4 linked regions of the Macaca mulatta genome follow. The protein of the gene in region 1 interacts with the protein of each later gene in a biochemical or structural test. Links are inferred from orthologs where the notes say so. Each region holds a gene or a part of one and is shown in the gene's direction. Other genes may lie near its edges. The genes, in order: PDGFRA, PDGFA, PDGFC and PDGFB.

The links.
Region 2: the proteins of PDGFRA (region 1) and PDGFA form a complex in vitro, tested with the Homo sapiens proteins (2 studies listed by BioGRID). The link is inferred for Macaca mulatta from reciprocal best matches to the Homo sapiens genes PDGFRA and PDGFA.
Region 3: the proteins of PDGFRA (region 1) and PDGFC form a complex in vitro, tested with the Homo sapiens proteins (2 studies listed by BioGRID and IntAct, with this or other methods). The link is inferred for Macaca mulatta from reciprocal best matches to the Homo sapiens genes PDGFRA and PDGFC.
Region 4: the proteins of PDGFRA (region 1) and PDGFB form a complex in vitro, tested with the Homo sapiens proteins (3 studies listed by BioGRID). The link is inferred for Macaca mulatta from reciprocal best matches to the Homo sapiens genes PDGFRA and PDGFB.

What each region holds. Positions count from the first base shown.
Region 1 is NC_133410.1:79,232,841-79,240,689, reverse strand, and holds part of PDGFRA (platelet-derived growth factor receptor alpha), read left to right. Parts: intron 1-640; coding exon 641-958; intron 959-3,264; coding exon 3,265-3,525; intron 3,526-4,541; coding exon 4,542-4,672; intron 4,673-6,923; coding exon 6,924-7,095; intron 7,096-7,186; coding exon 7,187-7,376; intron 7,377-7,849. UniProt on the Homo sapiens protein: Tyrosine-protein kinase that acts as a cell-surface receptor for PDGFA, PDGFB and PDGFC and plays an essential role in the regulation of embryonic development, cell proliferation, survival and chemotaxis.
Region 2 is NC_133408.1:34,435,008-34,442,378, reverse strand, and holds part of PDGFA (platelet-derived growth factor subunit A), read left to right. Parts: intron 1-3,781; coding exon 3,782-3,908; intron 3,909-4,033; exon of another isoform or gene 4,034-4,436; intron 4,437-4,514; coding exon 4,515-4,570; 3' UTR 4,571-4,583; intron 4,584-6,440; coding exon of another isoform or gene 6,441-6,451; 3' UTR 6,452-7,371.
Region 3 is NC_133410.1:165,590,228-165,598,547, reverse strand, and holds the start of PDGFC (platelet-derived growth factor C), read left to right. Parts: upstream 1-2,575; 5' UTR 2,576-2,608; exon of another isoform or gene 2,609-3,355; 5' UTR 3,356-3,471; coding exon 3,472-3,589; intron 3,590-8,320. UniProt on the Homo sapiens protein: Growth factor that plays an essential role in the regulation of embryonic development, cell proliferation, cell migration, survival and chemotaxis. Potent mitogen and chemoattractant for cells of mesenchymal origin.
Region 4 is NC_133415.1:12,332,840-12,339,457, forward strand, and holds the end of PDGFB (platelet-derived growth factor subunit B), read left to right. Parts: coding exon 1-46; intron 47-4,163; coding exon 4,164-4,288; 3' UTR 4,289-4,314; intron 4,315-4,693; exon of another isoform or gene 4,694-4,843; 3' UTR 4,844-6,336; downstream 6,337-6,618. UniProt on the Homo sapiens protein: Growth factor that plays an essential role in the regulation of embryonic development, cell proliferation, cell migration, survival and chemotaxis. Potent mitogen for cells of mesenchymal origin.

The sequences.
Region 1 (7,849 bases):
AGGCTGGAGTGCAGAGGCTCATTGCAGCCTCAATCTCCTGGGCTCCAGTGATCCTCTTACCTCAGCCTCTGGAGTAGCTGGGACTACAGGTGTGCACCAGCACACCTGGCTAATTTTTTTATTTTTTATTTTTTGTGGAGACCAGGTCTCACTATGTTGCCCAGGCTGGTCTCAAACTCCTGAACTCAAGCGATCCTCCCACTTCCACCTCCCAAAGTGCAGGGATTACAGACATGAGCTGCTGCACCCCAGCCTCATCTCATTTTAACTAAGGGAAACCTCTGCAGTGACTGTGAACCATAAAGAACCCATATGTGCCTGAGCCTGTGCCATCTTGGGATATTTTATGGTTACACATAAGAGTCTGAAATATGGAATTGGAATCAGACATCCTCTGTCCATTTGAGTGTTTGGAGGAGTGAATCTAGTGGGGCTTGGTGGAGCTATCTGGAACATTTGCTGCTCTCAGCAGATGCAGTGGCTGTTATAATGGGGGACCTTTCATGGGCATCCAGGCTAACGGATTTTTGTGTAGAAATGGTCATTGTTCATCTAAGCTGCTACTATTGCTTCTCTCAGTTCTCGGGATGAGACCGTCCTTTCTGGTTGCATCCTATTCAGAGCGTGTTTCCTTTTGCAGGGCTGAGCCTAATCCTCTGCCAGCTTTCGTTACCCTCTATCCTTCCAAATGAAAATGAAAAGGTTGTGCAGCTGAATTCATCCTTTTCTCTGAGATGCTTTGGGGAGAGTGAAGTGAGCTGGCAGTACCCCATGTCTGAAGAAGAGAACTCTGATGTGGAAATCAGAAATGAAGAAAACAACAGTGGCCTTTTTGTGACAGTCTTGGAAGTGAGCAGTGCCTCGGCGGCCCACACAGGGCTGTACACTTGCTATTACAACCACACTCAGACAGAAGAGAATGAGCTTGAAGGCAGGCACATTTACATCTATGTGCCAGGTGAGTGGGATGGGTCCCCAGGACCGAGCTTCTTCTCTTCCTGTCTTTCCTGTTAAATGTACTAAGGTTTTAAACATATATATAAGTAATTAATATTTATTGCAGGAAGTTTGAAAGATGTAAGCGAACACACAGAAATAAAAATCATTTGTAATATTATCAAGAAATATTCATTGTTAGCATTTCAGAGCTGTATTAAGTTTGGAAAGTCATCTTTGTTATGACATGTCCTGTATTGGTACTGTATAAACAATCTGAAATATACTCATCTCTATTCAGTTCATTCAAGTTGCACACATACTCACAGTGTGTCCAGCACTGGGCTACGTGTTGAGTATACAAAAATTAATAGGTAAGCCCGGTCTTGGAGTTGCTGATAGTTCATTATAATATCTTCCAAATAAACACTCGATTTTTCAGATTCACTATCAATATACATTTATTCTGAGAGTTGGAAGGTATTTTCTTTTTCCTTTTAAAAAGTTATATATATATATATATATATATATTTTGAAACAGGGTCTCACTCTGTTGCCCAGGCTGGAATGCAGTGGCATGATCATGGCTTACTGCAACCTCAACTCCCCTGGTTCAAGCGATCCTCCCACTTCAGCCTCCCAAGTAGCTGGGATTACAGGCATGCACCACCACGCCTGGCTAATTTTTATATTTTAAAAAATTTTTGGGTGTGTATTTTCATTTGAGACAGGGGTTTCACCATATTGACCAGGCTGGTCTTGAACTCCTGACCTTAAGTAATCTATCTGCTTCGGCCTCCCAAAATGCTGGGATTACAGGCGTGAGCCACTATGCCGAAATTTTTGTATTTTTTTTGTAGAGATAGGGTTTCACTGTGTGGCCCAGGCTGGTCTCGAACTCCTGGGCTCAAGTGAGCCCCACCCACCTCAGCCTTCCAAAGTTCTGGGGTTACAGGCGTGAGCCACTGGGCCTGGCCTACTCCTACATTTTAATTAAAAGGACAAAGGATTGAACACAAGTGGTGGCAATTTCAGTATGCAGTTGGGTAAATTAAAAAGGACTGTGGCTAGAATCCTTGGTTTTAGAACAAAACAGAAACCGCTTAGGATTCTTGCCATCCTTGCTGTTTTGGCATAGGTCGAGGAAGGGGGTTCTCACAGAAGTGTGTCTTCCTACCTTTCTGCCTTTTCTTTTTCAGTTTTTAATGGGCTCCTCTTCCTACCCTCTGTAACTATGGGTGTCCCCAGGGACCTAGACCCTCTTTACTTCTTTCATGATACTCTTATTCATATGAGCCTTCCTTCTTAACAATTAAGGAAAAAATAAACAACTTTGTTTTGAAAAGGTAAGACATTTAGAATGTCACCCCAACTTCATTCACACTTAGATTCCTTCAGGAAAATCCTCTAGGTGTGGAGGGATTTTCCCCTGCTGTGAAGAGAATGGTAGGATCGTGAATATGTTAAAGGCACACAAGTCCCTGAAGTTTTAATCCGTGTAAGATTGTCCAAAAATTCTTCTTGTTCCCTATCTTTTTCCAGCACAGACGCCATCCAAGTAGCCCCTGCATCGCTGTCTGACAGAGATCTTTTGATTTCACAATAATGGAGATTTAGGGGCCTTTTCTGCAGCTGATGTTTGAGACTCTTAGAACTTCTTACCACCGTAGCTTAAGTAGCTGTTTTTCTTTTGGAAAGGAAATTCTCAGGCTCCTTCTCCTTCTCCTTCTTTAAATTTTATGTATTTCTCAAAGGATTACTTTTTAACAAACACATTTCTGTGCTACTTTTCAATCGTACTGACTACAGGTGATAAGAGTTTTTTGAAAGTATTTCATAATAAAACTAGAAATATTTTTTCCTGTTTTGAACAGAGTTGGACTCTATTAAATATTTTATTGTTCATTTTTGTTTTTAGTTGTTTAAATTTTGATTTAGATTCCTGGTTAGTATTTATTTATTTATTTGTAGAGACAGGGTCTCTCTATGTTGCCCAGCCTGGTCTCAAACTCCTGAACACAAGCAACCCTCCCACCTTGGCTTCCCAAAGTGCTGGGATTAAAGGCATGAGCCACAACTCTTATCCAGTATTAATATTTATCATCAGTATTATCTATCAGGAGACAGGCAATTTGATATTATTCACACTTAAAAATCACTTTGTAGCTGTCATGATAACTAATGCCAGTGGGGCAATTCTTCTGGATATATGTGTAAAGGTGAACTTCATACCTAATATCAATACTGCCAGTGGGATAGTGTTTCTGGATTTATGTGTAAAGGTGAAATTAATGTCTAATGGAGTCTTCATTCTTTTTTAAACTACAGACCCAGATGTAGCCTTTGTACCTCTAGGAATGACGGATTATTTAGTCATCGTGGAGGACGATGATTCTGCCATCATACCTTGTCGCACAACTGATCCTGAGACTCCTGTAACTTTACACAACAGTGAGGGGGTGGTACCTGCCTCCTACAACAGCAGACAGGGCTTTAATGGGACCTTCACTGTAGGGCCCTATATCTGTGAGGCCACCGTCAAAGGAAAGAAGTTCCAGACCATCCCATTTAACGTTTATGCTTTAAAAGGTACTCGTATCATCTCCTTCCTTCTTTAAATAAGAGTAACAGGCATAATCATCAGGTGCATGTATGATTTTTTTTTTAAATCATCGCCACTGGTGATCCTAAATTCCTATTTGGGGATTTAGGACCCCAGCTAATACAGTGTCAAGGTGACCTCTATGGCTATAATAATAAGCTTAAAATTACTAAAGGCTAAAGCTTGATTACTCATGCAAGATTTCATGTTTCATCAGTTGACTTCAAAATACTGTAAGGAATTCTTTTCTTACATAAGCCTCTTACTTTCATTCACATTCCTGACTACGGAGGCCCTAAAACAAGCATACACCTTGGGGGTTAGATTCCTAGATTAATTTAGTAACTTAAGGAAAATGATTTCAATTCTGAAGAAAGTAGTTGTAGACTTCAACCCTTTGATGTCCACAGTTAGTACGCTTGGGGAAGTATAATACATGCTGAGGTCAACAGATATTTCCTGACCACTATTCTATGTGGGGGAATGGGTAGCAGCAAGAGTACACTGTTTGAAAATCAGAGCACAGCTAATTTTGTGCCAGGCACTGTGCTGGGTTCTGGGAAAGTACTGAGAATAACTGAGGAGCAGAGTGGAAGAGAAGAAGAGAAGAAAAAATTGGATAGAAACAAAGTGTCTAGAGCAGTGTGGATCATCAAAGGTTGGTTGATTAAATGAATAAGTATGTCAGTCAAGGTGATTGTAGACGAGTATAACCATAACTAACGCACTGCTGAGGAATGCAGTGATTGGAATTTATTTTTATTGTTATTATTTTATAATTCTGTATTATAACTATACACCTAATTGTTGTACACCATCTCAAAATCAAGCCTTGTGAGATTTTCTAAATTTTATCTTGATCAGGGCTTTTATTCATAATTGGTTCACAAATTATTTTTCAGGGTTTTCTTAAAAAAACAAAAAACAACACCACCACCCAAACTTTATAAGATCCTTACTATCCTATGGATTTTTAGGCCCTTGTATTTGTTCTTTTTTATAGCAACATCAGAGCTGGATCTAGAAATGGAAGCTCTTAAAACCGTGTATAAGTCAGGGGAAACGATTGTGGTCACCTGTGCTGTTTTTAACAATGAGGTGGTTGACCTTCAGTGGACTTACCCTGGAGAAGTGGTAGGTACCCTCAAAATGTGCAATGGCTTGGAGCAGAGCAGCAGGGCTCAGAAGACCTGCATTTGTGCTGGGTCTGTCACTGATGGGCACATCACTGAGTTTCTCTAGACCTTAGCTTCCCACCTCTATGATGAACACATTTGATTAAAAAGCCTTTAGGGCTCCTTGATCAATGGGCGAGTTTGAAACGACAGTTGCTGGACCAGGGCCTTCAGAATACATAAAGAGTGTGCACTAAGCCTTCTTTCTCAGAAGTCAGACAGAAATAGGAAGGTTCTCTGGCTACAAAATATCAACCAAAAAATTAGAAGAGCAAAAAAACCGCTGGATTTTACTATTGCGGAGAGTCATTAATTGTCATTGTCTTGGCTTCTGTGCTTCTGACGGTTGATTCATTTGATAGTGTTTATTGCCTGCACTCCTTCCTGTTCTGCCTTGTTGACACTGAGGACAGTGTGTCTTCCTGTTCCACCTCCTATGTGCCTGACCTTTGCATGGCTCACGTTCAGTGAACAGTCACTATGTAATCATTCAACAAAGGTTTAATGATGTTTTACTCAATCTCAAGCACCGTACCAGAAGCTGGTCCAATATTGCCGGATGAAGGGAGGAGGGGAGATGGAAGTGGGGAAAGGGAGCCACCATGCTGCCTCTTGGTCACTGGAGATTTACACAGAGTCTCAGTCATTCGAATGCATTGTCACTAAGTAAGAGAGGCATGTGTAAGAGGCTATGAATGCCCAAATGCAGGAATGACTAACATTCTTATGGAGAACAAAAACCAGATATATATATTTCTTCCCTCTTCTCCTGACTTGTAAATTTCTGCTCCCTGTTCTTTTAGGCATTTGACAGCTTTCTGTCCTTCTATCCATTGATCTCCCTCCTTATATACATTTCTCTCTCCCATGCATTTGCCACTGCTTTTCATTCGTCCTGGAGCATCTGATTGGAAGGTGGGCATTTTCACTATTGCCTCATAAACTTCACATGGTAAAGGGACATTTACAGTCCAACAAATGTACAACTTCCCTGAAATATGGAGTGATTTGGTTCTTCTGTTCACACTTGATTGCCATTAATCCCTAACACATAAACACTGCTTTTTATTTATAGGATACAGTATTTTTTTCCCAAACCAAAGTACATGCTATTTGGCTTACAAATATATAATCAAAGTATTGTTTCATATAATATGTTTTTTTCTGATTGTAAAAGTAATGCAGGTTTAATGCAGATACTTTGTAAAATACGGAGAGACAAAGGAAAGGCTACTTCCCAGAGCATCGCTGTTTATATTTTAGGGAGATAAAACTTTTATTTTTTATTTGTCTTTCTTTCGGTTTTTTTTTTCTTCTTCTTCTTTTTTTTTTTTTTTTTTTTTTGTAGAGATGAGGGTCTCACTACATTGCCCAGGCTGGTCTCGAATTCCTGGACTTAAGTGATCCTCCTACCTTGGCCTTTCAAAGTGTTGGGATTACACATGTGAGCCTCTGAGATTGACTGAGATAAAGTTTTTAAATATTTCTTATCCATAGATAAACATTGAATAATTAATAGGTGTTATTCTTTAAACAGTAGTTTGTTACATTCTTTATCCTTCAGCAGTATAGCACAAACACCTTATATGTGTCATTAACTCTCCTTTTAAAAAATTGGCTGGGTGTGGTAGCTCATGCCTGTAATCCCAATACTTTGGGAGGCCGAGGCAGGAGGGTCACTTGAGGCCAGGAGTTTGAGATCAGCCTGGGCAATGTATTGAGACTCCGTCTCTACAAAAATGTTTTAAAAATTAGCCAGGCGTGGTGGCATGAGCCTGTAGCCTCAGCTACTCTGGAGACCAAGGTAGGAGGATCGCTTGAGCTCAGGAGGTTGAGGCTTCAGTGAGCCATGATTGTGCCACTGCACTCCAGCCTGGGCAGCAGAGCGAGATTCTGTCTCTAGAAAAATTAAAAACAAAATAAAAAATCTCATGATTTTCTAAGCAGCTAGCTTTTTTTCTTTAGGTTTTATCTTTTAGAGCAGTTTTAGGTTTACAGCAAAATTGAGTGAGAGGTACAGAGATTTCCCACGTGTTTCCTGCTCCCACACATGCATAGCCTCCCCGCTTGTCAACATCCCTGCCGTCCATTTGCTACAACTGATGAACCTCCATTGACACATCGTATCACCCAGAGTCCATAGTCTACCTTAGAGTTCACTCCTAGGAGCGAGCTTTTTAAAAGTCGGTTTTCTTCCCCTTTTGCTGTAGAAAGGCAAAGGCATCACAATGCTGGAAGAAATCAAAGTCCCATCCATCAAATTGGTGTACACTTTGACGGTCCCCGAGGCCACGGTGAAAGACAGTGGAGATTACGAATGTGCTGCCCGCCAGGCTACCAGGGAGGTCAAAGAAATGAAGAGAGTCACTATTTCTGTCCATGGTACATTCCGCTTTCTAAAATGTCAGTCGTCCATGCTGCTCGGGATCCATATGTGGTAATCTTTATTTAATGGAAACTCTTCCCTGTACAGAGAAAGGGTTCATTGAAATCAAACCCACCTTTAGCCAGTTGGAAGCTGTCAACCTGCATGAAGTCAAACATTTTGTCGTAGAGGTGCAGGCCTACCCACCTCCCAGGATATCCTGGCTGAAAAACAATCTGACTCTGATTGAAAACCTCACGGAGATCACCACTGATGTGGAAAAGATTCAGGAAATAAGGTAAAGAAACACTCTGCCCAAGTATGCCTTTTTTTAGTGTGCATCAGAGGTGGACTGAGGTTTGTGTGTGTCTTACAACCCAGACCCAAAGTCATTCTAGAAAATGTAGCAATCTGAGTTCAGAGATGCTTGAAATCACATCCCTTTAATGATAACATTGCAATATGGTATTAGTATGCTGGTAAGTATTTAATGAGAAGATGAGAAGAAAGAACTAAAAGCTCTGGCTCCTGGGGAAAGACAGGTCACTGTGTTCAGCTAGGGTGGAAGAAAGGAAGTAAAATCGGACTCACCAGGATTGAATAGATTGAATACATTCCCTGATGTTCATCATCCATATTGCAAGTAGACATGTATGGTGATTACACCCGTGAGGTAGTTATCACATCACCTTACGTGAAAGTTAACATCGTAGGCTTAATCTGGAACCCATTTGCCCTAACTGAGGACTCCACAGGAAAGAAGAGTAGAGC
Region 2 (7,371 bases), on another chromosome or scaffold:
AATCCTGGCATACTCAGAAACAGGTGCAATCATAAATCGCTGTTTGTTTTTGTTTGATAAAAATGGGCTTGTCTGAGGAGACAGTGGGTTCCCAGACGAGCGGCCGTGCCGTGTGCCTTTCGCACGGTGCCCAGAGGGGCGGCATTTCTGCTGTGTCCTGGGAGCCCACATACCTGCGGCGGCTGGCCATCTTGAGTGGATGAGACAGCAAGCCTGCCCCTCGCCTGGGCTTTGGTGTCTGGCCAGATGGGCCTGCCGTCTCTGCCGAGCCAGGCCCTGGTATCTGCCCTGCCGAGGGAACTAGGTGAGGCTGCTTGTTGACCAAAGAGGCTGTGCCACCCGGAGGGTCAGGGCTGGAAGCAGAACAGGGCGCCCTGCCCGAGCCCATCCCCACGAACCCAGATTTCAGAGCCCACCTGCCCCATGCCTCACTTGGCCGCCCCTGCAGAGGCTGAGGGTGGGTGGGAGCAGCAGAGTAGGGGTGCTTTGAGCCCAGGAGGTGGCAGGATGTGAGGCTGGTGCTGTTCCACCTGCTGGGACCTGTGTCCAGGGCCTCCAGGGGAGGGGAAGAAGGAGCTCGGCCCCTGCCAAGGCAGGAGGGGGCTGGGTCTGGTTTTGTGCACTGGGATCCCTAGTTACTACCTGGCAGTTCTTGACTCAGGGAGGGCTAAAGACATGCTTGGAGGGCTGGGGGTGGCTGAGGTCCCAGGCGGCCCTGCTGCTCCTCTTGAGGCTTTGCTGCAGTTCATCCTTAGGCTGGGCCTCTCCCACCCCAGGCCCTCAACAGGAGCATGACTCTAGACTCACTCTCTGCCTGTGGTGGGTGGGGGGTGGTACTGTGCTGAGCCTGGGGACCAGGGGGCGGGTTGGTTTCGAGGCTCTGTGTTAGAATAGACGCCGGTGGCAGCCCACTCCTGAAGGCTGGCTTTGTCCTCAGTTCTGGGGGCTTCTGCGTGTGCAGCCTCATTTATTCCTCAACCCTTGAGTGGGTGTGATCGGCTTCCCTTTTCCAGATGGGAGGTGGAAGTGTGTGCACAGCTGCAGAAGCCTCTCTGGAGGATTCTGTCCTGGGGAAAGGGGCAGATTGCCGCGGGAGTTGGGGGACTGGTCTGAAGCCTCCCGAATGGAACGGAACCCCATCCAGGAAGCGGCGGTGTCCTGGCCGCTTTCTCTCACGCTTTGTGACGTAGCGAAACCTCCCAGGCCAGGTCCTGTTTCTGAGCTGGCTCCTGACCCCAGGCGTCCCACGCCCTGCACCTGTTGAGCTCATACTTGGCTGTCTGTTCATGCCCCAGGCAGGCCAGACCACTTCACACGCCTGCAGGCACCCTTTGCACTGTGGGTTAACCATTAACTCAGCCTTGGACAAGCCTGGTCTCCAGTGCCTTAGGGACTGGCTTACCTTCGGAGCCTGCCTGGTCCCAGGGTGCAGAGCTGACCTTCTGCCTGGGGGTCCTGCTGATGCCCAGTCTCCAGAGTCCCCCACCCCACCCCCTGAAGAAGGTTGGGAAACATTCCCCTCTTCCCTCCTTTACCCTCCTGACTGCCTGGGAGGCAGGGCCACTGGGCTGGGGGCATCTGACCTTGTGCTGAGGTCTCCTCATTCACCCAGCAGTGTGCATTCCCCCATGCCCCTGTGCTCAGGGGGTGACCCGGCCTCTGTTTCCTTTCTAGCCTCAGTTTCCCCATGAACCGTGAGGGGTGAAGTGGGGGCTGTTCTTGGACTTAGACCCTGTATGCGGCAGGGCTGGTTCCGTGGGCACAGATGGAGCGCCTGCTGGGTGCTCGGCTCCCCAGGGCCTGGGAGGGCAGGAAGGTGGTGGCTGTTCCCTGGCATGTGCCCCAGGGGGCAGGTGGGACAGCCTAGCAGTTAGGGACAGGTTTAATTAGGGCTTGCCTGTGTCTCAGTTTCTTCTTCTGTGAATGGAGGTGCCAGTCGTGCCTCCTTATAGGGTGGTTGGGAGGATGACATGAGTGCTGGGGTTTGGGCTGGGAGAGCCGGTGCTCGACTCACGCGGTCCCTGGCCGTGCATTAGGGGTCTGTTGATGCCAGGCGTGTGTGTAGTAAGATTCCCATAATGGGGCCCATGTGTACATTATGCCTGCATGAATGTGTGTGGGGGGTGGAGTTGCCTCCCCATGACAGGGTATGTGTGTGCATTATACAGGTGTGTGTGGGGGGTGGAGTTGTGTTCCCATGACGGGGCTTGTATGTGCATTATGCATGTGTGCATGTGTGTGTGTGTGTGTGTGTTTCTTGCCTCCCTTGTTGAATGCCTGAAGCTCCCCCTCTCTGGCCTGGACTGGGCCATTGTCTGCCTTCAGCTCCCCCAGGAAGGGGCTGTGGAGGCAGGACCCCTATGTTGTGGTTCTGTGCCTGGAGAATTGAGGGCAGGTGTGGCTTGCAGACAGGCAGAGTCCAGTCTGAAGAGAGACACTCGGCTGAGGTCTGGTTCGCTTTTGAGCTGCCTGTGCCTGACAGCCACAGCCCACCAGCCTGTGCTCCTCCCGGTTCATCTTGTGGAGCCTCAGTGATGGCCCAGGGTTCCTGGCCCTGGTTTCCGAGGTCAGGCCTCTCTGAGCCCAAGGAGAGCCTTGGACCTGGGGGAGTCATGAGGGGACCCCGGTTGTGGGTCTGCTGGCCCTGCTGCCTGGGGGCTGGCAGGGAGGTGGGGACCTCATCAGGCCAGCAGCTGGGATTATCATCTGGACTCTCAAGTCCACAACAACCTCAGGCTAGGATACAGCCACGAACCCCCCATTCCTAGGCCATGGCTGTAAAATTTTTTTTAATAGAGATAGGGTCTTGGTATATCGCCCAGGCTGGAGTGCAGTGGTATTATCACAGCTCACTGCAGCCTCAAACTCCTGGGCTCAAGTGATACTCCAACCTCAGCCTTCTGAGTAGGCTGGGACTACAGGTGCCACCATGGCTCGCTAGTTTTTAAATTGTTTTTAGAGACAGGCTCTTACTATGTTGCCCAGGCTGGTCTTGAACCCCTGGAGTTAAGTGATCCTCCCGCCTTGGCCTTCCTAAGTGCTGGGATTACAGGCGTGAGCCACCATGCTCAGCCTGGCTTTTAAAATGTATTTAATAACAACATGATCATTTGAAAACATTTTCCAGCTGCACATCCACACACAAGCAAACACTTTCCCTGGCCACCTGCACCCCAGAACCCCCAAACTCCCACACCTTAGCAGTGTGCATCCTTCAGACCCCCCAGGCACACGTGAACCTTTGGGTTTATTTTAAACAAAAATAGGATGAATCTACAAAATGCCATGCTCCAACGCCAGGCGTGGTGGCTCTCGCTTGAAATTCCAGCACATTGGGAGGCTGAGGCAGGAAGATCACTTGAGTCCAGGAGTTCAACATCAACCTCGGCAACATAGCGAGATCTCATTTCTACCAGAAAAAAAAAAAAATTTAAATTAGCTGGGCATGGTGGCCTGTGCTTACAGGTGGGAGGCTGAGGTGGAAGGATCATTTGAGCCCAAGAGTTCAAGGCTGCAGAGAGCTATGATTGGCCTGGGTGACAGGGTGAGATCCTACTCAAAAAAACTAAAACACACACACAAAAAACTGCACTGCAGCTTGTAGGTTTTTCACCTGGTACTCCTACACTCTCCACCACAAGGTAGCGTTCCTGGGAGGAGGTCAGAGGTCAGAGGTCAGGCTGCTCTCTCCTCCCTCCCAGCCTGTCCCTGGCTCCCAGCACGTCGTGTTGTCTGAAACTCCATGCAGGCATTCATGGCTGGGCTGTGTTCTGTCGGACAGGTGGCCAAGGTGGAATACGTCAGGAAGAAACCAAAATTAAAAGAAGTCCAGGTGAGGTTAGAGGAGCATTTGGAGTGCGCCTGCGCAACCACCAGCCTGAATCCGGATTATCGGGAAGAGGACACAGGTGAGTGGCTGCCTTCGTTGGCATTGGTGTTCGAGAACAGATCCTCGGAGCCTTGCTTTTGGGGTGTTAGGTGGCCCCCTGGAGCGCGATGCTCACGACTGTGTGCATCTGGGCTGCTGTTGAAGGACTTGTTGGCCTGCTCCTGGGCCAGATGCCTGCTGAGGAGGCAGATCCCACGCCTGCAGGTGTCCAGTGGGGAGCCCAAGCCGCAGCACTGACAGGAGAGGAGGTTCAGGCCTCACTGAGAGGGGCTGGGAGTGCATAAGATGCCCAACTCATCAGTGGGCCACGGGGCTGAGATGAGAAGAATCTGAAGAAGGGCCCCTGCCGGGATGGGCGGGAGGAGCAAGTTCGAGGACTACAGCTGCCCTGGCTGGCTGGGGTCTCTCCTTCACCCCACTGAGCGGACTCCACCCAGGAGCAGAATGGCCTCTGTGCCCTGCTGTGTCTGGGCCCTGGGAGCACGAGGGGACTCAGAAGTTTCTCCATGCCAGGGTGCTGGCCTTCTCTTCTGGAAAGATAAACACCGTAGGTATTTGTTGCTTCAGTTCTTCACCCCGACGGCCATCCCTTGGCCCACTCACTGCCGTGCCCTTTTGTTAACAGGAAGGCCTAGGGAGTCAGGTAAAAAACGGAAAAGAAAAAGGTTAAAACCCACCTAAAGCAGCCAACCAGGTAGGACCTGTCCGCCGGACATGCTGAGTCCTGCAGGGCGGGGAAGTGCAACCAACTGATCACACCAGCAAATCACGCTTCCTGTCTCGCCGGGTGCGGCAGGGACGTGGCCCTGATTGGCCTTCATGGTGTCTGCTGGGCTTGGGTCTCCTTGCTCCCCGTCTGCTCCTGCCTCGCAGAACGCCCTGGCCCGCGGCTCACTCCCACTCTGGGAGCCTGCCTTCAGCTTTGTCCTTCTCTTTGTCGTTGATTGGGGACGCAGGAGCATTGCACATGAATGGAATGGGTTGGGCGACCTGAGCAGCGGTGGGGCTGCTCTGACCGCCTGACCACTCTGGGATCACCCACCCCATTTGACAGATGAAAAAACTGAGGCTTAACTGAGATTACAGATAAGGACTGTTGGAGGCTGAATATATCTGGAAATCCTTTATAAACGCACAGGGCTGTCGGCTCCTGTGTTGGAAATTGCATTTGGCTGCTAGTGACACCAGACAGCACAGGGATTGAGATAAGGTCGAGCTTCATGACTTTCATCTAAAAGTGGGATTGCAGAGCAGGGAGGGTAGTCTTGAAGTATCATCAGGGTCTCCCTTCTGTCTGGCTAGTGGCATCCATCTGCAGTTGCCTCATGGCCCAAGGTGGCTGCGAAAGCTCCAGAAACCACATCTGTGCTCCAGGCTGGAAGAAGGAGTGAGGGGGGAAAAGGGCAAAATAACACCCTTAGAGAGCTATCCTGGAAATTCCACCCAGTGACTTTTGTGTTTTTCTCAACTGCCATCCCTCCACTGCAAGGGAGCTTGGGAAACGTCTCCTAGCAACACACGTCACTTCCCAGATGGAGATGGGACCTAGGCAGTCGCTGTCATCACGGAGGAGGCAGTTTCAAGCCTTCCTGGTCCTTGGCATTGGCCCGCCTGGCTTGGGAAAGTTGGAGCCCTGTCTGGCCTGGTTCCTCCTCCTGGCACGTGGGACTCCATGGCGGCCAAAACAAATAGTTTCTTTAGAAGAGAGGAGGCTCTCAGAGATAGGGTGTCTGAGAACCCTGGCTCCTGTTTGCAATGTGGGACTTGGGCCTGCGGGTGAGGTCCATTCATGAGGAGCCTCTTGGGAGGAAAGTATCCACTTGGGCGGGTCTTTGAAGTAGTCCAGGACTGTTGGTCAGCCAGCCTTGGCTTCGTTTGCCCAAAGTGTGGTGTGATGAGTGGTTTTGTGCCTGCCTGCAGGTTCTGTTTCTACAGAGCGTTAGGCTCTGGCCTCCATGGGCCTGCTGTGACAGATCCCATGGTGAGAGGCTGGCACTCCTGTTGTCCCATGCCTGGCTGGCACTCATGCTCAGCCTATAGTTGGCCCAAGTGTTGGAGTGTGTGAAGGAGCGGCAACATAGGATGCGGAAGAGTTGTTCTTAAAGAATCAGCATAGGTCTGCTTAGGTGCAGACTCTTCTGTCTGGCTGGTGGCCTCCATTCTCAGGGTTGTCTCATGGGCCAAGGTGGCTGCCAGAGCTCCAGAAATCACATCTAAGCCCTCGGCTGGAAGAAAGGAAGGCAGGGAGAAGGGCAAATGAACCATTCTTGGCCTCAGTTTCCCCCATCTGTACAATGGAAGAATGGGGCTTGGTCTCTAGACATGTTCTTCTGTGAGATGCTGGGAGCCTAATCCCAATTCCTGTCAGGGTACTGCAACATGGCTAATGTGGCAAATGTGATTCTGGAAATTTCATGAAAACTTGAAATCCATGTGTACCCCTGATTGGGTTAAATGTTTTCACCCTGTTTGCCTCCTATGTAGTGATGTGTGTGCTGGGTGGTTCACTTGGTCGGTGGTCTCAGTGTCTGTCTTTCCCTTCTCCCTGCAGATGTGAGGTGAGGATGAGCCGCAGCCCTTTCCTGGGACATGGATGTACATGGCGTGTTACATTCCTGAACCTACTATGTACGGTGCTTTATTGCCAGTGTGCGGTCTTTGTTCTCCTCCGTGAAAAACTGTGTCCAAGAACACTCGGGAGAACAAAGAGACAGTGCACATTTGTTTAATGTGACATCAAAGCAAGTATTGTAGCACTCGGTGAAGCAGTAAGAAGCTTCCTTGTCAAAGAGAGAGAGAGAGAGAGAGAAAACAAAACCACAAAACATGACAAAAACAAAACGGACTCACAAAAATATCTAAACTCGACGAGATGGAGGGTCGCTCCCGTGGGATGGAAGTGCAGAGGTCTCAGCAGACTGGATTTCTGTCCGGGTGGTCACAGGTGCTTTTTTGCCGAGGATGCAGAGCCTGCTTTGGGAACGACTCCAGAGGGGTGCTGGCGGGCTCTGCAGGGGCACGCAGAAAGCAGGAATGTCTTGGAAACCGCCACGCGAACTTTAGAAACCACACCTCCTCGCTGTAGTATTTAAGCCCATACAGAAACCTTCCTGAGAGCCTTAAGTGGAAATTTTTTTTTTTTTTTTTTTTTTTTTTACACCATAAAGTGATTATTAAGCTTTCCTTTTTACTCTTTGGCTAGCTTTTTTTTTTTTTTTTTTTTTTAAATTATCTCTTGGATGACATTTACACCGATAACACACAGGCTGCTGTAACTGTCAGGACAGTGCGACGGTATTTTTCCTAGCAAGATGCAAACTAATGAGATGTATTAAAATAAACATGGTATACCTACCTATGCATCATTTCCTAAATGTTTCTGGCTTTGTGTTTCTCCCTTACCCTGCTTTATTTTTTAATTTAAGCCATTTTGAAAGAACTATGCGTCAACCAATCGTATGCCGTCCCTGCGGCACCTGCCC
Region 3 (8,320 bases), about 86 Mb from region 1:
ATAACATTTACTTTCAATGCAAAGATTTCATTTTTCTAGAAAAGGTTAACAAGCAAAATAGAGCAGGAAGACAGGCAGAGGATAATGTGTTAAAAGAATCAACTACGTCAAGGGCAAGAGCAGTTCAAGAAATGACAATGCAAGTACATTGAAAGGAAATTGGCCAATGTGGATGTGATTTTGTCTAGGGGTCATTCAGGAACACCTGGCTGACTTTATTTATAAGGCGATTGTCAAATCAATCTGTAGAATATGGATGAGGTGAAACGCAGAGGTAGAGTATTATTCTAGATCATCTGTAACTTTTCAAATACAACCATTGCGCTGAAATTCCAGGGAGAATGTAAGTGACTCCAATAAAGAAACCTGTCAGTCAGTCATGAGTGTTTATTTATTACCACCCTGTGCCAAGCACTGTTCTAGCCAATATGAAATGATACAAAATAAAGAGTAGTCATCACCCGTCCAATCTCCTGAGAGCAAATGGATTACATTTGCAGACACACACACACACACACACACACACACACACACACACACACACCCTCTATGTGGGTGGTCAGGAAACTCAACTCTGTGGACGTATAACAACTTCATTTAGAAAAATGCTGATTAGAAAACCAAACACACAAAATTAGAAAAACTGGAGAATAATGAATTTTATGACAAATAGATTACAATGGATTCATTGTAATCTTTTTTTTTAAATTTATTTAAATTTAAATCTTTTATTTAATTCCCATTATGTCATTAAAATTGGGAATAAAACCTTCACCCTCACAAATTTACAAAATATTTTTGGAATATATTATGCAAATATGGAGTCACACTGGCGTTGTGGAGCTGCTAACTGGAATAAAATACCATACTTGATTAAAAAAACCTTCTGTCCACTAAACTGTAAATTCCTTAAAGTCAAAGATCAGGTCTTATTTGCCTTTAATGTATATTTAGTACTCTGTAGATAGAAGTGGTAAAGGGATAAGAATGAATGAATGAGACAGGTGGGCGAAATTTTCAAGAATGAGACAGATCGGTGAAGTTTTAAAAGGTTTCAAAAAGGAAAAAAACAAGACGACTAGGATATTTCAAGCAGAAAGGTCTGGTTGGTTGGCCCCAGTCGGTGTCTGAGTATACAAAGAGGGCTTGGCATTTTCATCACCACTGAAGAAGGATCAGCTCCTGCTTTGGTCCAGTAAGAATATGTTCTTGCTCAAATGCCACTCCTTAGTTGCAGGGACATTGCTATTTTGGTTTTCTGTTCCAGCCCAAGTGTCCTTGATGGTCGAATTGTTGCATTGACTTTTTTTTTCACAAGAAGTTGGGTGATACTGCTGATTTGCCTGCCATGGCACTTGCTTGATATATATAGTTTTCATTTTGATTATTACACAAAAGTAGCTTCATTTTAAAATTCAATTTTCTGACTCTCTGCTTGTGCCTTCAACACATTCACAATGATTTTCTGCTTCTCCACGAAGAAAGCACGTTGGATCCTGTCACAGACACATTTAGCAGACATGGAACCACCATAGGCCCTGCTTGGCATGTGTGTTTCATTTCAGACTACCTCATAAGAACTTTAGGTCTTAAAGCATCAGCCTCTCTCTCCAAGTCAGCCTGAACACAAGCCACATACAGATTTCGGTTATTTCTCGACCTTTTTGGTGTAAATGTAAACAATTCTATCAACAGGGGTTCAGGGCAGCCTAGTTTTGTTAGAGGCTGTATTGTAGGAAAGTCCAAGGTTGCAGGATCCTTCTGAGTCCCTTAGACGCCGTTCTCAGAAGAGCTTGCTATTAGCTTAACGCTGCCCAACTACTACGTATGCTTCACCAGGGCAGGGACTTTTGTCTGTTTTCACTGCTACGGTTCCAGCCTCTAAACAGTGCCCGACAGAGTGGGCATTCAGTAAATATAGTACTTGTTAAATGAATGTTATTATTTTGGCTGCCTTTACTTTTGCTTTATCTGTCCTGCTTTACGGAGCTGGAAATTGGAGAAAAACCTTTGAATTCATTTCCCTTCTTTCCGTTCTGAAACTCTGGCCAAGGGTCCTAGCAAAGACCTTAGGGAGTGGGGATCCCTCTTGGAAACTAATGGCAAGTCCGGCGACAGGGGGCGGCAGAAGGAGAGTTGCAAGAAGTTCTTTCCCACTTCTTACTTCTGCAGCACCCTTCACCACCCATCGTGCTCTGTATTTGGGGTTAGAGGTATTCCGTGGAAAGGAAAGCTGGGGCCGCCTTGGCCGCGTTCCTCGCCTGGGCCATCGGGGTCTTGCCCACAGCGAGTCCCGCAACACCCCCTGTCTGCGCAGCACCTGTTAACAGCCAGTGGGCGGCCAAGCCCGCTCGCGCGGACGCGGCCCGGGGCTGCCCCTCCCAGAGGCGCCGACCCCCGCCCGCCCCATCGGCCGCCTGCGGGAGAGCCGCTAAGCCTCCCCCGCTCGCCAGCCGCGCGCTCCGCCCGGACTCGGCCCACGGCCCCCACCTCCTGTCTGCCGCCGGGCGGGGGGAAGGTAGAGAAGGGGAGGGGACAAGCCGGATCCTCCCGGCCGCCCCGGCCTTCCCTCTTCACCCCGTGCGGAGACGCCGCGCCGAGCCCCGAGGTTAGAGCGGAGCCCGAGGCGTGGGGGGAGGGGAGGGGAACGACCGGAGCCCCGCGGCGACCCCGAGCGGCCGAATTGCCCCAGGCTTTGAGGAGCAGGGGACGCGCCCGAACAAGGTGAACTTTGGTCGCGGAAAACTCAAGCCAGGTGCCGGAATCCGTGCTGCGGCGCTCGGGACGCGGCGCCGACTGCGCGCCTGGTTGGGGAGCAGGAGCCCCGGGGCCTCTCTCCGCCTGCGCCTGGGCCGGTCTCGGCCCGGAGCCCCCCGGCCCCGCTCCGGCGCCCCGGCCCGTGGGACCAGCCGCGGCGCCCTCGCCTTGTTTCTTCCCCCTCCCCCTTCGGGGGTGGGGGGTGGGGCGGGGGAGAGGGGCGCACGGAGAGCCGCATCTATTGGCAGCTTTGTTATTGATCAGAAACTGCTCGCCGCCGACTTGGCTTCCAGTCTGGCTGCTCGCGACCCTTGAGTTTTCGCCTCTGTCCTGTCCCCCGAACTGACAGGTGCTCCCAGCAACTTGCTGGTGACTTCTCGCCGCTCCCCCGCGTCCCCACCCCCTCATTCCTCCCTCGCCTTCACCCCCACCCCCACCACTTCGCCAACAGCTCAGGATTTGTTTAAACCTTGGGAAACTGGTTCAGGTCCAGGTTTTGCTTTGATCCTTTTCAAAAACTGGAGACACAGAAGAGGGCTCTAGGAAAAAGTTTTGGATGGGATTATGTGGAAACTACCCTGCGATTCTCTGCTGCCAGAGCAGGCTCGGCGCTTCCACCCCAGTGCAGCCTTCCCCTGGCGGTGGTGAAAGAGACTCGGGAGTCGCTGCTTCCAAAGTGCCCGCCGTGAGTGAGCTCTCGTCCCAGTCAGCCAAATGCTCCTCCTCAGGCTTCTCCTGCTGACATCTGCCCTGGCCGGCCAGAGACAGGGGACTCAGGCGGAATCCAACCTGAGTAGTAAATTCCAGTTCTCCAGCAACAAGGAACAGAACGGTGAGTCTTTCCCCCATTCTCCCCCTGCTTGTTTCTCGCTGTGTGTGTTAACGTTGGCATTGTGCGTTGGTATGTGATGTATACCAGACTGCGAAGGTATCTTTGGTCTCTACATGCAAATGCGCGCTCCGTTCACTGGCATGGACTGTTGAAGGTTAAGTGTAGTTTGCAACTTCGGGAGCTGCCACAAAGCTCCAAGAGGGCAACGTGAGTGCCACTGCAGCCTCAGTTAGAGTGAGGACATTCTGGGAGCGATTGTGAACGTCAGTTCAAATGCACATTGCAGGTTCGCTCATTGCCAGAGTTAGAAGTTCAAGAACTGCCTCTAAAAACGAATCCAAAATGAATGAGTCTTGGCATGTTTGACTTTACTCAGATTTGGGGAGGGCGAGGGGGATCGGTCAGGAAATGTATCAGCCGCATGAATTGAAGCACTCTAGGTCGAAGTCATCAATTAATCAATGAGTAGATAGGAAATATAGAGGTCAAGAGGCTGTGTGGTAGTTTTTAGAGGAATTAAAAAGTGTATTTCTCTTGCGCCCTATTTTTTGTTTTTTAAACTTGCCTTTGTACTCTGAAGTCCTTACCTTTCTGGTGGTGTGTTTTAGTATGTGTCGGTGAATGACTGCTATTTTGTGTGTGCTGGAAGCGACTTAATCCTGCATAGGAAATGAGAATTACTTTCAGCTTTCAAGTGTACCTGAAATGTTTCGAAAACTCTCAGATGCAAGTTCCCTTGGGCTGGGATTGCACAGAGCTGGAGAAAGGCTCCTTTCATAAAGCCAGGGCAGCTTCAGGGTGTGTAATTTGCTTAGCCTCTGAACCCATATGATTTACATCATTCAATTTCTAAACTCTTTTTCTCTTCATCTACCATTATGAAGTCATTTTTGAGAATACTTTGTAAATAGAAATTTTATACTGCACATGAAACCACAGTGTTCATGTAGGCTGTCTAAAATTGGAATGTTTAATGCCCTGTTTACAAGTGGTGGCTCTTACTGTTATTTGAAAAGGAATATACATGTTTTTACTGCTTTGTATATCATCGATTCTGTCACTTCATTAACCATGCAAAATGAACACAAATGGCATAACTGCAAAATTAAAATGGGGTGTGCTATAGTTTTAAGTCACAGTGATTTTTTTTCCTTTTCATATCAGGGTATTTCAAACCTTCAACTTTGAATTTAAACTCTATGAAGTGTTCATGTTTAAGAAAGCACAGAAAGTTTTAGGGTATAAAAATAGATAAAACAAGGATTCTGCGGACTTTTGCAAACATTATTTGTATTTGCTGCTGCACAGCAAGACATAGTATCACATTTATCAGCCAATATTAGTATGGTGGTGCTTACAACTTGCTAATGTGATGGCACATGGCACCTGCAGGCTCCTTGAGCTGCTGATCAAAGGGCAGCCTAGGGATCTATCTCTAATCACAGTAGCTGCAGAGGACTGGGGGAAAGTGATCAAAGGAGCCACAGCACCAGCTGTACTAGTGCAGGAAACAGATCAGACCAACCTTTGTTCTTTCTCATGTAAAATAAATGTCCAGTTCAAAATATTGCTTCTTACTAGACAAGCTCCTCCATAATGACAACAATGCACAATATTCCTGGCTTCCTGGCTTCTGTTTTTTACTGTTCCTGTCCCATATCATTTCTCCTATTGCCTTGTCTTATCAAGCCTTTCTTGGCATCTCCCCGAATCTCTTTGCTAACCTGTGCTTCTCTTTGTCCTTTCCTTGTAGTTCTCTCTTGTGTTCCACATGCTGTCATCACTTCGTAAGGGGCCCAGAGCTGTCGTGAAGCATGTGGTTATAGGCCACTTTACCCAAGTAGGTTCACACCTTCAGGAGAGATGAGTTCATTAAGCCAGGCCACACACATTCTGTTGCCATCTGAAGCTGGGCCATTTCCATTCCTAAGATGCATGATGCCAAAAATTGCTGCTTGTTTCCTAATCTGTGGGCAGAGTTTTGGGCTATGTTAGGGGTTGGTCTATGTTAAGGATGGCGGCAGGAAGTAACTAGAAGTAGAGGAACTACTTGCAGTTTTTTAGCCCAAGGAGAAGTGGCACTGGCCAGCACTAGGGGGCAATATAGAGCTATTTTCTTGCACATACTCAGGTTGATTTTTGTACGTCAAAGTTTGAAGATGTGAGGATAACAGGTGGGTGCTGAAGAAGATTCCCCTGGAATGTAATCAGATTTGTTAGAGCTACTACCATTACCATTAGTACTACTACTTCTACTTCTTCTTTTTGACTTTCAAATTTTCCATTATGTGGATAACTTTTTGCCCACATACTGAATTATGATTGATTTTTTATTGGCCTCTTGCTTTCTCAATTTTGACGGTTGTACAGTCCTGTAAATATGAACCCTCCTTGAGGATACCACGTAGAAGATCCCATTGGCCCAGATCCCATTGACCCAGTTCGTGCATTGAATCATTTTGTGAACGGTCTTCTCTAACTCTGAAATGTCCAAATTGATATGACTATAGCAGCTCATTCTTGTCTTCAAGGACCCCTCCTCATGATACTCTCTTTTCTTGAGTATTCTAAAGTCCCTAATGGTGTTTATTCAATCAGTTACCTCTGGCTGCTTAGTTTTAGTATTAACTTGGTGTTTCAAGAGGAGGTAGGGCCGGGCGCGGTGGCTCACGCCTGTAATCCCAGCACTTTGGGAGGCCGAGGCGGGCGGATCACAAGGTCAGGAGATCGAGACCACGGTGAAACCCCGTCTCTACTAAAAATACAAAAAATTAGCCGGGCGCGGTGGCGGGCGCCTGTAGTCCCAGCTACTCAGGAGGCTGAGGCAGGAGAATGGCATAAACCCAGGAGGCGGAGCTTGCAGTGAGCCGAGATCGCGCCACTGCACTCCAGCCTGGGCGACAGAGCGAGACTCCGTCTCAGAAAACAAACAAACAAAACAAACAAACAAACAAAAAACAAACAAACAAAAAAAGAGGAGGTAGAATTGGAAATTGATGGGTATAGCCAATGCCGCATACGTGGATTTAGACTGGATCATGTGGACATGGTTCAGAAGTAGCTTTGAAGGGTTAGTGTCATTTACACTATTGTTAGGTATCTGGTTTTTGACCTACCATTGGGTTGCAGTTCTTGCCACTTTTACTGTACAAACAGTTTTATCCTCTAATATTATAAGTTGGCTTCATAAACCATACTTAATTTGTAACCTTACTTCTGACCCTGTCTCACATATGAAAACAAGGGTTTTCAGATTTAACTTGAGGAAAGAGATTAAAAGATAACATTGACTTGCTTGGGGAGTGTCTGGTCTGTATACTTAGTATATGATCATGGTGAAAAATACTCATATTTTGTGCACACTGGTTTTAGATGAGAATGCCTATTGTGGAATGATTAAGTTCTGGGATGGTGCTTCTGAGTTGTAGCAGAATCATACATTCAGGAACAAAACAAAACCTACTTTGTCTGTTGCATACAGCGCAAAGAGATGTCAATGACAAAGTTGTTGGGGGAGGATTGCCTCTTCTACCTGTGTTGTTGGTGAGTGATTTTTAGTTTATTCATAGATCAAGAGCATGCGTATTATTTTTTCTCATTTTCTTTAGCCATTCCGAATTTGGATTTGGAATATGCTGCTGTTTGCTACGGTTGGTCTTATGAACATCAGTTATTGTATGTGTTCTTTTCCTCAAGGGCTTTCGTAGCATGTGGGGCAACTTACTTTGGTCTGCTGGTCATGCCCTTTTGCCTGTATCTTGTGTTCATGGATTTTCCGTCTCTTTTTATCAGTGCCAGCTTTCTCTTCCTACTGCCAATGTGCCTGTATCTAACAAAATTTAAGTTAAAAATGGAAAATTAAAAAAGGTGTCCAATCCCCTTACCATCGTTTATAGGCGGCAACTTCAAATCTCTGTTTTATCAAAAACAGGTAACCACAATATTTAGAACAGTGTCCACGAGTAAGTAGGCTCTAACTGCAGACTAAAGGGACTTTCCTGTAAGTTTCCCTATAAGTTTTATTGCGTGACCTTTGTGACATTTATTTTTGTTGTTTAAAGGCTTTTTTACAAAAAAAAAAAAAAGAAAAAACTTCCTCCTGGTTCTCTGCTGTTTGAGATAGTTGAGGAAGTTGAACAAGTACAGTGCCATTATGTAATGATGAATTTTGTCTTTTCACAGTAGGTGATTAAAAAGCTCTATTATATGGTAATTTTTCTTCTGTATCAACTGTAATCATAGATATTGGATGGATGATATATTTTGCTTTTACCACTAAAACATGTTTAGATTGGTTTGTAGGAAGCCTCAGGGATTAATATATCATTTGTAAAATAGTTGTAAATAGAGGATGGGATTGGACACTAAACTTCCCTCAGTGCTGCCATCTCTTCTGCGAGCTATAGCTCTGCTCAGGCACTGAAACTTTAGCTTTGTCTACTCTTATTTCACCCTTCCTGAAACTTATTTCTTAAATATCTTCTGTATATTAGCTTCCACTTCATGTTTTTTTCAAGTTTTAGACTGGTAAGATTTTATCTATAAACTTTTGCACCTTTTGTAGAAACAAAATTCTAATGATAAGGTGATATGTTAAATAAGTAATGATGGATCAAGACATTCATAACGTTCATAGTAAAAACAAAAAAGTTTCCATGACTGATGAAATTTTCCTCATAGGTTTCTATTTGTGTCAACCAAAATGGCAGAAGTCATAAAGTCCCTTCATTT
Region 4 (6,618 bases), on another chromosome or scaffold:
GCACGGCCTGTGACCCGAAGCCCGGGGGGTTCCCAGGAGCAGCGAGGTAACCACCTTTCCAGGTTCAGCCCTCAGCCCCCTTCCCCTGCAGCAGCTGGGAGCAGGGGCCGGTCTTAAAAATGGAGATGGGATCAGGCCCGCCCCCGGTTCAATTCATGGGAGGCTTTCTTTCCATCTTGCTGAGAACAAGCCAGATTCCTCCCTTGCCTGAGAGCCCTACATGAGGATTAGCCCCTGGCTGGCCCTCTGGTCTCTGCCAACCAGTACCCTTCACCTGTGCCAGCCCCGCCGGGCAGGCCTCTTTCAGTAACCAAATGAGTTTCTGCCTCAGGGCTTTAGCACACACTGCTGTGGCTGGAGGACATTTCTCCCGGCTCTCCACAAGCCTAGCTCCTTCTCTTCATTAGAGTCTCAGCTCAGAAGTCACCTCCTCCTAGACGTCTGCCCTGACCACCCCATCCAGAGTAGCCCCATTTCCAGTCTTGCTACCACAGCCCCCTGCTTTGTTGGATGTGGGGATGGGATGGTGGAAGGAATCTGGGCCTGGATGAGAGAAAGCTCCATGCCCATCAACTTCAGACACTGGGCAGCTTGTCCTGGGGATGAGAAATAAAGCTAATTTCTCGTACCCTTGAGCAGGGGAACTAGGACCAGTGGGGAGAAGCCACTGGAGAGAGAGAGCTCCATATGCAGAACAGCTAGCTGGTGATCAGTCAGGGGTACGAGACGGCATTGGCAGCATTGTGAGGCAGTGAAACCCCGTCTCTACAAAAAATACAAAAATTAGCCAGGCATAGTGGCACACGCCTGTAGTCCCAGCTACTTAGGAGGCTGAGGTGGGAGGATCGCTTGAGGCTGGGATGTCGAGGCTACAGTGAGCCGTGATGGCACCACTGTACTCCAGCCTGGGCAACAGAGCAAGACCCTGCCTTTAAAAAAAAATGATTAATATGATTAGATGAGCGTTAAAAAAAATCATGTGAGTGATAGTTCTTTTTCAGTAACTTTCTATTGTTAGGGACAGGACAATCTTTTCATTCTCATTTCTGATTAACAAGACTGTGAAGACAGAGCCGTTTCTTGACCTCTGGGTCTTATTCCTAGAGCTGAGCTGAGTGGCTGGGATGCCCTGGAAAGGCTGATCATATGACAGCTTCAAACTGACGTGTTATAAATTATTGAGTTAACATGGAGGATGATTTCTCTATTAAGGGAAATATATATATATATATATATATATATATTTTTTTTTTTTTTTTGAGACAGTCTCACCCTGTTGCCCAGGCTGAAGTGCAGTGGTGCAATCTTGGCTCACTGCAACCTCTACCTCCTGGGTTCAAGCAGTTCTCCTGCCTTAGCCTCCGGATTAGCTGGAATTACAGGCACCTGCCACTACACCTGGCTAATTTTTGTATTTTTAGTAGAAACGGGATTTCGCCATGTTGGCCAGGCTGGTCTGGAACTCCTGACCTCAAGTGATCCACCTGCCTCGGCCTCCCAAAGTGCTGGGATTACAGGTGTGAGCCACCATGCCCAGCCTCTTTCTTTTTTAAGAGACAGGATCTCTCTCCATCACCTAGGCTGCAGTGCAATGGCATGATCATAGCTCACTGAAGCCTTGAACTCCTTCCTGGGCTCAAGCGAGCCTCCCTCCTCAGCTTCCCAAGTAGCTGGGATTACAGGCACGTGCCACCACGTCCAGCTAATATTTTAAATTTTTGTAGAGATGGGGTCTTGATTTGTTGCTCAGGCTGGTCTCTAACTCCTGGGTTCAAGTGATCCTCCCACCTCAGCCTCCCAAGGTGCTGGGATTACAGGCATTGAGCTACCACGCCTGGCTTTCTTTATGTTTAGAATGAGTTGCTTCATGTATTTGTTTCACATAATTTTCTAAACCAGTTTCTTGGGAGGCGCATTATACCAGTGAAACGTAGATGACGTAAAGTCCCATCATTTTAGTTCCGGTATTTTGGTTGAGTATGATGGTGTTTCTGTCACCTGTCCATGGGCCTGGCTAAGGCTTGGTGGCTCTTTGTGATACTGTGGTCAGTGTCAGACCTGGGCTCAGATCTGCGTGCTGTCACTCGAGCTGTGACCTTGTGCTTGCCTGGGCTTGGTATAGCCCGGTGTCCTGCTGATGGCCCAGGCTCTGGGGAAGAAAATCCCTGGGCCCTTCAGTGGCCCTCCTGGTGTCTTCTGTCTGAGGGGATCTGAAGCCCATCCAAGTCCCTGAACTGCTAGAAAATCTGCCCATTTGCAGAGATGGGACAGCTGCCTCGTGGGAGCTGGTGTCTGTAAGGTGGGAGGTCAGGTGTCAGATCCCGGCGGGCTGGGAGAGCTCAAAAGGCTCCCAGGAAAAGGCTGGCCTTGAGCTCAGCAGACACAGCTGTCCCTGCCAAGACAGCCACCTGGGAACCCAGGAGGGAGATAGTGTATAAGAGCTCCCCTTGACTGAGGCTCACAGACATTGTCGTTTGTGCTGAGTGGTTGGAGGTGTACACTCTGGAGGCAGATCCCTGAGTTCAAATCCCAGTCTCTCTGCTTCAGTTTCCTCATCTGTAAAGTGTGGGTAACAGCACCTGCCGGTAACAGCACCTGCCGTGAAGGGAAATGAGCATAGAGCAGCACCAGGTGCATGGTAAACACTAGCTGGGGAGTTTCTGGCCATTTCCATGTATTGTCTCCTAACGCTAGGAGGCCAGGGCTGCTGTCTTCTCTGCTTTAAAGATGTGGAAATCGGCAGGGCCCGGTGGCTCACGCCTGTAATCCCAGCACTCTGGGAGGTGAAGGCAGATGGATTACTTGAGGTCAGGAGTTCCAGACCAGCCTGGCCGACATGGTGAAACCCCACCTCTACTAAAAATACAAAAATTAACTGGGTGTCATGGCACAGGCCTGTAATCCCAGCTACTCGGGAGGCTGAGGCAGGAGAATCACTTGAACCTGGGAGGTGGAGGTTGCAGTGAGCTGAGATTGCACCACTGCACTCCAACCTGGGCAACAGAGTGAGACTCTGTCTTAAAAACAAATAAATAAAGATGTGGAAATCAAGGCACAGGGTGTTTAAGTGACTTGCTCCAATGTCCACAATACATGGGAAAGCTCAGATTTGAGCCCTGGTGAGTCAGATCCACAGCCTGAGTTGTGGCCCATCCATCCCACTCTACTGCTTCTCAGAGTGGCAAGGGGCAGGTAGGTGACAGGCACAACTGACCCGAAGGCCCAGCTTCATGGTGGGAGTGTGATTCTGGCCCAGAGCCCAGTGACCTCCCTACCACGTGACCGGATGAGGCTGAGAGGTTGGGGGGAAACCTCAATAGTAGGTCAAGCTAAGGAAAATAAGAAAAAAAAGTGAGTTGTAGCAGCTGCCATGTGCTGACTACTTCATACTCGGAGCTTTTTATTATCTCTCCCAGGTCTGGGGGTTGACTGGGCTCAGTTGGGCGGTTCTGTTGGCCTGTCTACTGGTTGCAGTCAGCTGGCAGCCTGGGCTGTGGTCATCTGGAGGCTCAACAGGGACAGCTGGGCCTATTTTCCTCTCCCTGTAGTCCAGGGCCTCTGGCTCTGTGGGGAGAGCCAGTCCCTACCTGGCCTCTCCATGTGGCCTCTCCAGCAGGGTAGCCAGACCTGTTATGTGGCGGCCCAGGGCCCCCCAAAGCATGAAGGTGAGAGCTTCCGGGCCTTCTTAAGGCCTCTGCCTGGAACTGGCACAGCACCACTTCTGCCTCTTGTTGGTTAAATAGCTCCAACTCCAGGCGAGATTCAAGGGGCAGGGAAATAAACTCTACTGGTCTGTGGGCAGTGACAAAGAACTTGAAACCATATTTAATCTACCTGGCTCTGTGTCCGGTACTGTGCAAAGAGCTTTGCCAGCGTACTGTCATTTACTCCTCCCACCAGTCCTATGAGGTGGGCAGTCTTATTACCCCCATTCCACAGATGGAGGCGCCGAGGCTCAGAGAGGTTCAGTCATTGTTCCCAAGGCATGTACAGCTGGTGAGCAGTGGAGTTGGGATCCAAACCCAGGACCCTGGCCCAGATTCCCCTCTTGTCCCTTTCCTGAGTCCAGAAGACCTCAGGAGGTCCGCGGCAGGCCTTGGTCAGTCGGGAGAGACCACCCCAGTGGTCCACATGCTCACGAGGTCTTTCTTTTTCTTATGCAGCCAAAACGCCCCAAACTCGGGTGACCATTCGGACGGTGCGAGTCCGCCGGCCCCCCAAGGGCAAGCACCGGAAATTCAAGCACACGCATGACAAGACGGCACTGAAGGAGACCCTCGGAGCCTAGGGGCATCGGCAGGAGAGTGTGGGCAGGTGAGGGCCGGGTGGGGAAACTGAGGCCCAGAACCCTGTGTTTCCTTCTCCGTGGCCTGTGGATGGGGTCAGGGGAAAGGATTTTTCTATACAAATCCAGCCTCTGAGCCTTGGTCCTCTCTGCTCAGTTATCAGCTGGGGCAGGGTGGGTGGTGGGCTTTGGAGACCCCAGCCCAGCTGTGTCCCAGCACGCCCTAAGAGAATGGGAGGTCTAAATCTCAATCTTCCCAGCCCTTCAATGCCCCAGCCCTGAGCACTGCTGGAAATCAGGGGTAGCTAGTTGTCCCCAGCTCCCTGCCCCTGGCATGGAGGACATATGAATGTGGGATGGACCCTCTAGGTTGTCTCTGACCCCCCTGTCTCTCTGCTTGTCCTGCAGGGTTATTTAATATGGTATTTGCTGTATTGCCCCCATGGGGTCCTTGGAGTGATAATATTGTTTCCCTCGTCCGTCTGTCTCGATGCCTGATTCGGACGGCCAATGGTGCTTTCCCCCACCCCTCCACGTGTCCGTCCACCCTTCCATCAGCGGGTCTCCTCCCAGCGGCCTCCGGCGTCTTGCCCAGCAGCTCAAGAAGAAAAAGAAGGACTGAACTCCATCGCTGTCTTCTTCGCCTGACTCCAAGAACTTGGGATAAGAGTGTGAGAGAGACTGACGGAGTCACTGTTTGGGGGAAACGGGCTCCTTCCCCTGCACCTGGCCTGGGCCACACCCGAGCGCTGTGGACTGGCCGGAGGAGCCCTGCACATGGCCCTGAGGACCTCTCAGCGTAGCCTGCCTGGTCCCTGGACCCCTGGCCAGCTCTGAGGGGAGACACCTCCAGGCAGGCCAGGCTACCTCGGACTCCGTGGCTAAGACCACAGACGGGCGCACAGACTGGAGAACACCCCTCCCACAGTGCCCAAACACCAGTCACCTCGTCTCCCTGGTGCCTCTGTACGCAGTGGCTTCTTTTCGTTTTCGTTTTGAAGACGTGGACTCCTCTAGGTGGGTGTGGCCAGCACACCAAGTGGCTGGGTGCCCTCTCAGGTGGGTTAGAGACGGAGTTTGCGGTTGAGGTGGCTGTAGATGGTGACCTGAGCATCCCCTGCCTCCTGCCACCTGTTCCTCCCTGCACTCCACTCTGATTCACCTCTTCCTCTGGTTCCTTTCATCTCTCTACCTCCACCCTCCGTCTTCCTCTTGTCCTGGCCCTTCAGTCTGCTCCACCAAGGGGCTCTTGAACCCCTTATTAAGGCCCCAGATGATCCCAGTCACTCCTCTCTAGGGCAGAAGACTAGAGGCCAGGGCAGCGAGGGACCTGCTCATCATTTTCCACCCCAGCTAAGACTGCCATGTAAGGTTGTGCAGGGTATGCACTGCACAAAGACATTGTATGCAGGGAGCACTGTTCACATCATAGATAAAGCTGATTTGTGTATTTATTATGACAATTTCTGGCATATGTAGGTAAAGAGGAAAAGGATCCTTTTCCTAATTCACACAAAGATTCCTCGTGGACTGGCCGTGCCCCTGATGCAGCCTGTGGCTTGGAGTGGCCAAATAGGAGGGAGACTGTGGTAGGGGCCGGGAGGCAACACTGCTGTCCACATGACCTCCATTTCCCAGAGTCCTCTGCTCCAGCAACTGCCCTTCCAGGTGGGTGTGGGACACCCGGGAGAAGGTCTCCAAGGGAGGGTGCAGCCCTCTTGCCCGCACCCCTCCCTGCTTGCACACTTCCCCATCTTCGATCCTTCTAAGCTCCGCCTCTGGTGGCTCCTCCTAGGAAACCAGCTTTGGGCTGGGAATGGGGGAGAGAAGGGAAGAGATCCCCAAGACCCCCTAGGGGTGGGGTCTGAGCTCCCACCTCCCTTCCCACCTACTGCACTTTCCCCCTTCCCACCTTCCAAAACCTGCTTCCTTCAGTTTGTAAAGTCGGTGATTATATTTTTGGGGGCTTTCCTTTTATTTTTTAAATGTAAAATTTATTTATATTCCGTATTTAAAGTTGTAAAAAAAAATAACCACAAAACAAAACCAAATGAATCTGCCGGAGGTCTGTCTGTTGGCATCATGTGTGACAATTAACCTTTCTGCCTTGGCAGGATGTGCCGACAGCTTGCGGCGTGTTCCTCTCACTCTGGGAGCCTCAGGCGCGATCGCACACACTGGCGCGCGCACACACACACACACACACATCCATGCTCACACATGCGTGCACATACACGCAGGCCCGTGGCTTCGGGGAGGCCTCAGTGCAGTGGGAGGGAAGAGACACACAGGCCACTCTGTCGGTCTTGGTCCTGACGCAGTCCTGACACGTG